Arabidopsis thaliana: one gene and its partners. The protein of the gene in region 1 interacts with the protein of each later gene in a pairwise test. Each region holds a gene or a part of one and is shown on either strand. Other genes may lie near its edges. The genes, in order: HSPRO2, BEL10 and BLH1.

The links.
Region 2: the proteins of HSPRO2 (region 1) and BEL10 interact in a two-hybrid assay, tested with the Arabidopsis thaliana proteins (one large-scale study listed by BioGRID).
Region 3: the proteins of HSPRO2 (region 1) and BLH1 interact in a two-hybrid assay, tested with the Arabidopsis thaliana proteins (one large-scale study listed by BioGRID).

Annotation. Positions count from the first base shown.
Region 1 is NC_003071.7:16,700,337-16,704,097, reverse strand, and holds HSPRO2 (ortholog of sugar beet HS1 PRO-1 2), read left to right. Parts: upstream 1-1,761; 5' UTR 1,762-2,141; coding exon 2,142-3,449; 3' UTR 3,450-3,608; downstream 3,609-3,761. UniProt on the Arabidopsis thaliana protein: Positive regulator of basal resistance.
Region 2 is NC_003070.9:6,811,398-6,815,158, forward strand, and holds the start of BEL10 (BEL1-like homeodomain 10), read right to left. Parts: upstream 1,667-3,761; 5' UTR 1,446-1,666; intron 1,361-1,445; exon of another isoform or gene 807-1,360; intron 598-806; exon of another isoform or gene 531-597; 5' UTR 458-530; coding exon 1-457. Other genes in the region: AT1G19710 (UDP-Glycosyltransferase superfamily protein), read left to right, coding at 3,523-3,761.
Region 3 is NC_003071.7:15,090,741-15,094,501, forward strand, and holds the start of BLH1 (BEL1-like homeodomain 1), read right to left. Parts: upstream 1,676-3,761; 5' UTR 1,487-1,675; intron 1,439-1,486; exon of another isoform or gene 1,376-1,438; 5' UTR 1,327-1,375; exon of another isoform or gene 1,047-1,326; 5' UTR 960-1,046; coding exon 117-959; exon of another isoform or gene 1-116.

The DNA of each region.
Region 1 (3,761 bases):
CATTTTTTTTTTTTTTTTTTTGTCGTCAATCTACAAACTTCTTTGCATACTTTTCATATATATATATTTTTTTTAAAACGTAATAGTATAGGATGTATATTAAATGATATGAATAGTGGAATGATTCAGTAACCAAAACAATATAGCTAAAGAAAGTGTATTTATTAACATATATAAAAAGTTGGTTTTAGGGTAAGACTAATGCCTCGAATTTACTAGTTGTAACATTTTATTCTTTTTAAAGAGAATATGTGTCTCGAATTTACTAGGCGGGTGTAATTGGTTGTAGAAAAACGTTATTGTTAAAGATGGCTTTGATCAGTGCAAAGTGCAAACAAGTGACGTACGTAAAATAGATGTAAACAATACCAATTAAAACATAAGTAGTTATTTGAAAAGAAAACTCTTAACATAAAGAAGATTATAGACCACTAATTTGTATTTCAAACTATATAATCATTTGTCCTTTGTTATAATCTACTTGTCTAATGTCTAATATGTAATGGAAGAAATGGTCTGTCTTCACTCGAACCGTTTCCAACTGATAGTATTAATTAAATTCAATATCCAATGTACCGATAAATTAACAGAAACATCCATGAAAGTCTTGGTCACAAAAAATATATTTCATGCACTTAAAAGAGATTTGGTGAAGAAATCTCAAAACAGTCTTATTACAATCAAAATTTATCTATCGTATATAATAAATAAACAAAAAAATCGGTGAGATTAGAATATTGAACTGGAAAAGAAAAAAGAAAAACCAAAGTCAAAGGAAACGACAGCTTCCAAGTAAAACACTATTAGAAGATTAAGTGAGACCAAACTCCAACCTTCCTCACATATTTTGGATAAGCTTCGCATCTATATTCCTCCTACTTCCATGTGCCATTCCTTTTTCAATTCATAACACGGCACCGTCTAAATGCTTATCCACACTACAATAAAAAATAGTCATTTTTATTATATACGCGTTTCAAATACTGATAACACGATACAGTACTAATTTAGGGGACACTATATTTGTGAAAACTGCGGACTATACACTTTTCTAGTATCCAAATTTAATTTTGAGCAATAATTTTATCGTAACGTATATTTGTCTTATAATGCTCCTACTTGCAAGTATTATCCTAATTGTTTGACCTTATAGATAGAGCTTTTATAACTTTTGTAGGGAAACATCAAACATGTATTAAAATCTCTAGTGTTGCGAATTTAAGTTTATGCTTTCTTGAGTTTCTTTAATTGCCCGTCATTACGCTACTAAAATTTCACAATTTTGTCCGTTTTATACATAAATATACATAAACAAATACGTGATTTTTCTCTCTTTTTCTATTCAATTCATTATAGAAAATAAATGACGTTTTTCATATTTGCAACTAAAACATTGTTTTCTTTCAGTTTTATGTGGTACATGACACCTGTTATGTTTTACGATTGTTGATATATATTCAAAACACCATGTGCATGATTAGTTGAACTTGTAGCTGTAGATCGACAACTATCAAAATTATTATATATTTGCTTCGATCAAAAACTATCTACAGCTTGTAAATATTGCTCATAAGTGACAACCCATAACGCATGACTGACTTTCAAAAATGTATTTGCAGAAAATTTTATATTCTTATCGATCAACCCCTAAATGTTATACTACATCGCATATATCATCAAATAAAACATTTCTATATATGTATTAACATGTTATGAACATGACTGTGTGTTTTAACTTTAACTTTTATTAAAAGATAATATCTTACCAAAAACGAGAAAATATTCGATATTTCCTTAGAAATCAGATTACTGAACATTCGACTAATCATCAGGCATTTACCTTTCATAGAAAACAGTTCAAAAAGCAATATAAAGCCAAAAAACGAAAAAAAGATTATCCTGAAATTAATCCACAGTACTGGTTTTTTTTTTTTTTAAAAAGGAGACCGCGTTTCTACGCTGACTTTCAAATCAGTCGCGTCGGTATTATTCCACACGCCTTTTTTCTCGTCCCCATCCTCTATCCACATTTCTCTCTATATATACTCTCCTCGTATCCTAAACTCATCCTCAAATTCAAAATTTAACACACAAACACAAACACACACACCAAAAAAAACACAGACCTTAAAAAAATAAAAATGGTTGATATGGATTGGAAGAGGAAGATGGTATCATCAGATTTACCAAACTCACCTAAGCTTTCTTCAAAGCTTCACGTAACTATTCCATCACCGTTCAAAATCGTCCCTGTTTCATCTCCGATCTCATGTTCAGCACCTGCTCTTTGCTCTGCTTACGAGCTTTACCTTCGTCTCCCTGAGCTAAGAAAGCTCTGGTCATCTCGTGATTTTCCTCAATGGACATCAGAGCCGATTCTCAAACCAGCTCTTCAAGCTTTGGAGATCAGTTTCAGATTAGTTTTCGCCGTTTGTTCTGATACTAGACCGTACATCAACCACCGTGAATGGAACCGGAGGCTAGATTCTCTCATCACGAAGCAGATCCAGCTTGTAGCAGCGATCTGCGAAGATGAAGAAGAAGAAGGTATATCAGCGGAGGCTCCGGTCGGCGGTGGACGGAGTTCGTTGAGTTTGTTACCGCAGCTAGCTACGTGGAGGAGATCAGAGGCTTTGGGGAAGAAGATCTTATATACGATCGATAACGAGATGAGTCGGTGTAAGTACACGCTCGGACTCGGTGAACAAAACATCGCCGGAAAACCAAATCTCCGGTACGATGCGATTTGCCGACCAAACGAGATCTATAGCCTCAAGGATAATCCATACGCAGATCATATCGATAATCACGAGAATCAAACTCTCTATATCATTCACCAGATCCTCGAATCGTGGATCTACGCATCTGGAAATCTTCTGAATCGAATCGTCTCAAGTATCGAAGAAGAGAAATTCGGAAAAGCTTCAAACGATGTTTACTTGCTGGAGAAGATCTGGAAAATTTTAGCGGAGATTGAAGATCTTCATATGTTGATGGATCCGGAAGATTTTTTGAAATTGAAGAAACAGTTACAGATCAAATCGACGGGTAAAAACGATGCGTTTTGTTTCAGATCTAAAGGATTAGTGGAGATGATGAAGATGTCGAAAGATCTGAGACAGAAAGTACCGGCGGTCTTGGCGGTTGAGGTAGATCCAACCGGAGGACCAAGATTACAAGAGGCGGCGATGAAGCTTTACGCGAGGAAGACAGAGTGCGATAAGATTCATTTGCTTCAGGGGATGCAAGCGGTGGAAGCGGCGGCGAAGAGTTTCTTCTTTGGGTATAGGCAGTTAGTGGCGGCTATGATGGGAAGTGCGGAGATGAACGCGACGGCGAGTCAAGAGTCGTGTGACTCACTGAGTCAGATATTTATGGAGCCGACGTATTTCCCGAGCCTTGACGCGGCAAAGACGTTTCTGGGAGAGTTTTGGAGTCATTTGGGATGATTAAATTTTAATTTCTGCTGGTATAATTATTTAATATAAATTTAAATTGGTGGTTTGGTTTAATTTAGTTTGTAAGATAGTGAAATTTTTGGAACATTTGACGATCCATATTTGAATACAAATTCATTTTTATATGATTTATGAGATTTTTTAACAAACGATAACATTTACGAATATCGTAATCCATACTTTGAATTATCCACAAGTCGTAATTCAAATATGGGTGGTCTACTAACGAGTAACGACTAATCTATATGCTCTGACTAATCGTCAACAAATCACCACCTATCCTTCGTAGATGTTAGTGTATGA
Region 2 (3,761 bases), on another chromosome or scaffold:
AATTGTTGTAGAAGCCATTCCCACCATTACCAGCATAACCAGAGGAAGGATCAGATTGACCCAACAAGATCATTTCTTTGCTCTTCACACTCATCTCATCCACATGAAACGGTGACGTTTCCTTGACTGAAATTGAAGGATTCTGACTAGTAAACCCCAATTGGTATTGATGAAAGTGAAACGGAGCAACAGAGATCTGAGTACCAAGGCTCAAAGACAGTCCTTGACCATCGTGAAAGCTTAGATCGCTGCTTGAAACGGTACCGTTTCCTGTTACAACGTCTCCTGTGGTGGTTGGTGGGATAAAAACCATCTCGTTTCGAACAGTATCGCCGCCGGTGACGGTGAAAGAAGCGGCGGCGGATGAAGAAGAAGCTTGTTGGTTTTGTTGTTGATGGTTGAGAAAGATTGGTTCTTGCTGGTAACAACCGACATTACTTGTGTAATAAACTGCCATTGGTGTTTACACCTTTTAAAAGTTTTATTACAGTGAGTTCTTAGTTCGATGAGTTTGGTCGGGAAATGAGATCCTGCAAAAAAATAAGAGGAAGAAGAGTCGTGTAAGGTGTGGAATTTTAAAAATTTCTGATGGAATCTAAGAGAGGTTAAAACATCGTAATCATTTCACACCAAACCATTTTTTTTATATATCATACATAAACAGTTTCGAAAGCAACAAACAGAATCGGACCAAATTATTCGGAGGATTAAAGTCAAATTCTTGATAAAAAGCAAATGTTTTTCGTGAAGAACTGAAGAAACCCAGAAAAACCCAATACAGGAATTGTGTAATCGTAGAGGAATACCCGATCTATGGAGGTGAAATTGAGAGGAGAAAAAAACCCTAATTTGAGGTTGGAAAAAAAAATGCAGAGTAAAAAGAAATTGTGTAGCTCAACGTAGTGAGTCAAAAGCAGAGAAGATTCAATTATTACATAAAGAAGTAAAGTGTCTTGATGATTTCATCTCTTGTAGGAGAATTTCCAAAAAGCAAGGGAGAAAAAAAACACAGAAAGTATACAAAAAATAATAATCAAGAAACACAGTACAAGATTAATCATATCAAGAATCAAGAATCAAGAACTTGAATTTTTAAAAACTACCTGAGGGAGAGAATCAAAGTTAAAAGGAAGAAAAAAAACCTAGAGATTGTGTTTGTGAGTGTGGATGTGGCTGAATCAGGAAACACAAAAGCAGAAGAGTTTCGAACAGTTGAAGACAAAAAAAGATTTGAGACCCAATCCCGAGAGAGATAGAGAAAGAGGCGATTAATAATTGCAAAATTCTTAAATAAACAAATTTTTTTCAGTCCACAAGAACAATAAAACCAACCCAACTTATCATTGGGACATTAGACACCAACCCAATTTTTAAAAATATTATTATGCAATATCAACAATAAAATAAAATAATGATCACTACCGGAAAAATTTGACAACCGCTACCTGTAATTTTTAATTTTTTGCGGCAGAAGCTTCTGTTTCTGATGCTTAGAGTAAAGATAAATTAATATGATTTTTTTTGTGTGCCAACCATTCATAGAGAAACACGTGAGAGCTTACAAATCACCAATTTTCTTTTCTTGATTACGTGATAATATTTCTTATGACGACTTTAACATACAAAACTTAACAATTCCACACACACAAATAAATGGATTTTTATAGATGATTGTATTATACTTTAATGATGTTGTGTTGTCATTGACTTGAGACTCATACTACTTTTCCGTATAAGTTAACTAAATACAACCAAAAGAAAAAAGTTGAAGGAATGAGTGTTTATATATGAAAAGTTTAGTATTTGTATATTAAAAAAAAAAACCAAATCTAACTATTTAAACGAAATAATCTATAATGCGTACATTACCATGGTATCGTGGGAAACTTTTAACGACTTCCTGATTTGTGTACGTGAGGCTCCAAAATAGTGAAATTATTACCTGCCACAAATTATAGAGTCTAGATTTGGATTTCAAACTAAAATGTTTTTTTAAACTATTTGTTCTTATCACCTTGCTTTCATCATAAAGTTAAAGTTCGATACATTTTTAATAGAACTTCTTGAGCACTTTGTAGTTCAATATCTTTGAGGTTTTCTTTAAATGTTTGATATAACGGATATACTTTTAGTTATGCATGGTAGCGGAAATTAAACTCCATCAAATAAAACATAGAAACGTCATTATAGGTAGGAATATGAGATTACAAAACTGACCCTGATAAGCTGGTTTAAGGAAGAAGATAAAACAAAGGTGGGTGTGTGTCTGCTCAATTGCTTAATTGATGGATTAAATGACTTAACAACCAGTTGGTGAGTCCCTCCTTACTCTTCTGTTATACCCAATTTTTATTCTAAGTTCTCTTGTCTTTTTATTTCTTTTGTTATAAACCTTTTAGTTATACACTTACATGTTTGTATTTGCATATTCCACAATGAAGAATACGTAAAAGATTATCTTTATAGCTACACTAATAATATAATCCATTTCCTCTGATTTTTAAAATAACAAGTAGTTTCGTTTTGGTTTGTTGGAGATTGGATTTAGAGCAGCCGACACAAAATCATTTGGCAAGTACCATTGTGTTGGAAAATTATTATTCATGTGTTTTGAGTCTTTGAGAGATGATGATATTGACTTTTGTTTCCACGTGGATCTTGATTTATAATGATGATTAAAAATAAATTAATTAGGCAGTTAGCTGGTGAGAGATTGATTAAATCTACTAAAAATTTAGATTATTAATGATGTAATTATTTTTAAAACCGTATGGTTCTGTAAATCATATTTTAAAGTTGAGGATGAATCGATGATGCTAAACGAGGAAAATGTGTGTGAGTAAGAAATGAACAACCTTTGGTTTGGAGGAAAATGTTGAAGTATAATAATTCTTGCCAATTGTCAAATATATTAATTACATGGATATATCCGAAAAAAAACTTTATAATAAATAGCCACAAGTTATGGCCGTGTAACAAAAAGTAAAAGAATTTATTGCCACATACATTGTTGGACCATATATGAAGACGGATCATCACCACTAAAATTCATGTTTGTAACATTTATATTCTATGGATCGAAATCATTATGCTCTCCATTATTAGAACCAAACAAAACCAAACCAAAATTGTATCAGCAAAACTAATCTGAAGCCTAGCTTAGCTTAAGAAAAAAAAAGAATTAAAACCATATAGTATGCATTAACTATCATCATAACTAGTTTAGTTTTAGGCTTTTAGCAAATAGGCCTTTTAAAGCCCATTATAAATATGAAGAGAGGATTCCATCGGGGGCCTGCTGAGAAACGGCAATCAACTTCCTTCTAAATAACAAAAACGGCGTGAATTGCAAACTTCTGCAAAGAGTCAACACTGATTAGCGGCTTTTCCCCATTAAATCTCTCCTCTAAACTTCTTCGTTCCAAGCTTTCTCCATCACTGACGACAGATCCTTAGAAAGTTCTGAGATCGATTGTTACTGTGTAAACCCTAGGATGTGATTCTAAGCTGTAGAGAGAAACAATGGCGAAGCCATCAACGAGTATGTGGGCAACATTGCAGAAGAAGAGATGGCCACTGATGATTCTATTGGTTTTATCTGTATCAACAGTAGGAATGATTCTCGTGAGATCTACTTTTGATTCCTGTAGTGTTAGTGGAAAGAGATGTAGCCGAGAGAAGGAAGATAACAGTGACATTAAGATCCAATCGGTTTCTGGATCGTTGAATCCTCTCGAGTTCATGAAATCAAAGCTCGTTTT
Region 3 (3,761 bases), 1.6 Mb from region 1:
AATTGTGAAAATGACTGAAAATCTTAGGGACAGAACTTTTAAGTCCACTTCATGTGTGATATAAGAGAGCACTCAGTATATGTAGGCTTATTGTATATAATACGTATTGTTGTTACCTCATGAAGCATGTTACTAAGTTTTGCTTTCTTCATCTGTATTTCTTGTCTCTCTGCCGTGCCTAGCTCCACCGGACGTTTCCCGGCTGCTTCTGCTCCGCCACCGGAACCTTCTCCTCCAGCGCCGGCCGATGATTCTCCGACAGGTTTATCATTTCCGCAACTACCCTTTTTCGATGAGAATAGTTGGGATTTAGCGTTCATGTCATCGGAATCAGCGTTGACTACTTCGTCAAGAAGCTCTTGTGCTGCCTTCAAGTACTTGGAGCTAACAAGATTAGCTATACCGTTTGTTACCCCCGATCCTGTAGAGCCAGACCCGACCCGGATATCTTCTCCATGTCCGGACCCGAATCCGACGTGAATAGGCTGGTGTTGTTGATGATGTTGCTGTTGCTGCTGCTGTTGAGACGAGAGGGTTAAAGAGAGGCCTTGCTGCGCGCGTGGCGTCTCACACGCGGCTTGCTGGTGAGTGGGATCCACTTGGTGGCTACCGTAGAGACTGTACTGCACGCGCGGAGGATAACCGTGAAGTACGGAGATGTTGTCGGCGGCTGTAATGGAAGCAGCTTCGTGACCTGAGAGTGGTATTCCGACGAACTGCTGGCTCGCGTTTGGCTGCGGCGCGTGGGAATCGAGGAAAACGAAACTACTGTTGTTGTTGTTTGTGTTTGTGTTTGTGTTGTTGTTGTTGCTATTGTTGCTGTTGTTGTTGTTGTTCGAGTCGTTGTCTTGTTGGGTGTACTGAACGTAAGTAGTTGGATTCATGAGGATCAACGTTTGAAGACCACCGTCGGATCCGGCAGAGATCTCCGGTGGGTTTCCGTGAAAGTAAGCAGCCATCTATGTATAATTAGTAGTTGTTACACACGAATGAAACGACGTCGTTTTCTTTGATTCTCTTTCAATTCTTGACCTTCTTTCACCAAGCTGATTGATATCATAGAAAAACAAACAAAAGTATGAAAAAGGAGCAAAAACAAAACCACTATAAGTTTAATATAGATCTGTATATATATACAGTTGAAGCGAAGAAAAAAAGAATCGTGATCACATCAAGAAGACGAAGAAGAAGGGATGAATTATGGATTATGAGAAAGAGAGATTGAAGGATATGGAAATTAAGACATAATCATGATTGAAAATAAAATAATAAAATAATAGAGTTAGAAATTGAAAGAAAAAATGAATATTATAAAAGATGAAGAACCTGGATTGATAGAGATCTGAGGATGCACGTGTTTCATGATCATCTCAAGCTGCAAAAGGAAAGTTACATTAGAGAATTTCTATCAAAGAGAAAGAGAGAGAGACAGACACACACACATACACACGAATATACACTTATATATATATATTTATATGCATACCTGTGTTTGTGGAGATGTGTGTGATTGCTATGTGAGTTTGGTCTCTGTGTCAGACTCAAAGATCTCTGCAACTCTTTTCTTGCTCAAAGGGGAAATATAAAATACATTTAAAAAGCTGAGAAATAATATATAACAAAATAAAAATGACTAATATATATTGAAAGAGAGAGAGGATAAAGAAAGGAGAGATAAAAGATACCCATCTTTTCCTTCACTCATTAATCTTCCCACAGTCCTTAGTACGCCACCATTTTTCATCACTTTCTTTCTATTTTATTTTATTTTAGTGTTGTGGTCGGTATATCTTATAACCAAAGTGGATTTTTTGTTAAATGGGACAATAACCAATGTTTAGGACATGAAATATTCACTAATGTAACTTAATTTTACATTCATATATTGATATATACTTGTATCCGCAAAACAATTTGTGTGTGTGTGTGTGTTTACGTTCACCACCAGCTAATATTACTTATCTTTTTAATTTAATATGCTAAATAGACATTCCAACCATGTTGGAATTTGTTTTCAAAATTGATATTAAACTCTACACTTAGATATAGCTTTATGTAATCATTTAAATTAGTGTACTCTAGAGCAATTGGTTCAACAGTTTTTTTAAATAGAAAAAGATTAATGAATAAATTAAGAAAAAGACATAGCATTCTTTCATACTGCATGTTCAAAAAACCTTTACTTCATGTTATTATCACTATATAGCATGGTGATAAATAAGTTACAAAGTACATATATATCATAGGGAGCTAAAATTCATAAAACTAAGTGAGAAAATGTGCATATAATTGTTTGTTGTTGAAATTCTAGTTTGACATCCAGTACAAGAGATAATATTAAATTCGAAATATTTCAACTTCATAGACATATGTATACATTATTTGGTAATATATATGTGATACGTATCTTATTATAAATTTAGAATTGGTATACTTGAAAAACAGAGGAACTTGTATGATATGACTTTGGCCTTTTCATGTATTGACCAGGTAATGAACCCACATATCATAACAACCAAACACCCTTTATTTAGTTATTTATAGACGATATAATTTCATAGATGAAGTAAATGTTATCACATCAAGACATAGTGATATGTATGTCGTGTCCAATTTAGAATCATATCATTTTCTTTTAAAACATTATATTTGTATTTATTTAATAAAAAGAAATCCCACACGCATCTCAATCCAAATCTTTCTTTATTGATATAACTACAATCCTGAACATAAAGTATTCTTCGGATTACTATTCTTGCAGACTTTTATCATCTAGCAAGTTCAGAGTGTACACTGAGGATGGCAACGAACTTTGAACTGATTATGATTTATAAGTAATAAAATTAGTAATGTTTACGTTACCAAGTTCTTTTCATTTTTTCTTTTTTCAACTGTTTTTTTCTTTAATTTCATTTCATTATTTTCCTCAGCAGATTAACTAAGATACTTTATTTACAAAGTTTTATATTACCACATACACATAAAAACTTAAAACGCATCAACACTTTATTCTAGAAAATGAATAGATTTCATTTTTGAAAGTCCTACCGTTAGTTTATATTTTTCTTCCAAACACTCAAATAGGTTAAGAGTATAATATTTTAAATATACATAATGGGATTAGAGAAATTGAAAACTTATACGGAAAAGTGAATTGTGTCAGAAGATCCAAACAGCACAAAAACGAGGAAACGTCTCCTTCTGCAGAAACCTAAAATATTTAATCACACAAAAATCTAAATTATTGAGAAAGAGAGGAGAGAGGAAGAAAGAAGATGATAACGATAATGATAATGAAGCATGATGGGGAAAGAGTGGGTCCCGTTAAATGTATATTTACTTTTATTTCTTTATTTCATATATTCTTTTAGTTTACCACGTATGTCTATTTTTAAAGGGTATTTGACTAAAAGTATTTTATTTAAAATATAATTAGAAATATAGTAGATAATTTTAGTTGATTAATTGCAAAGAGTGTTTAAGTTCATGAGAAAGTCTTTTTTAGTAACTTGTATTTATTTTATTTATACGATATAGATAATTATAATTTGTATGTAGAACAACAAAAACATATGTGGACAAATTTGCTTATCTTTTTGAATCGTTTACCGTCCACATAAACAAACTACCAGTTATGTAAAATAAATCATCCATAGCGCATAAAAACTGGTATCTTGTTATTTTTCAAAAGCATTTTTGAAACTAGTATGTTCATATTTATACATATCTTATTGTTGATCAAAACAATTGTAGGGTTGGCC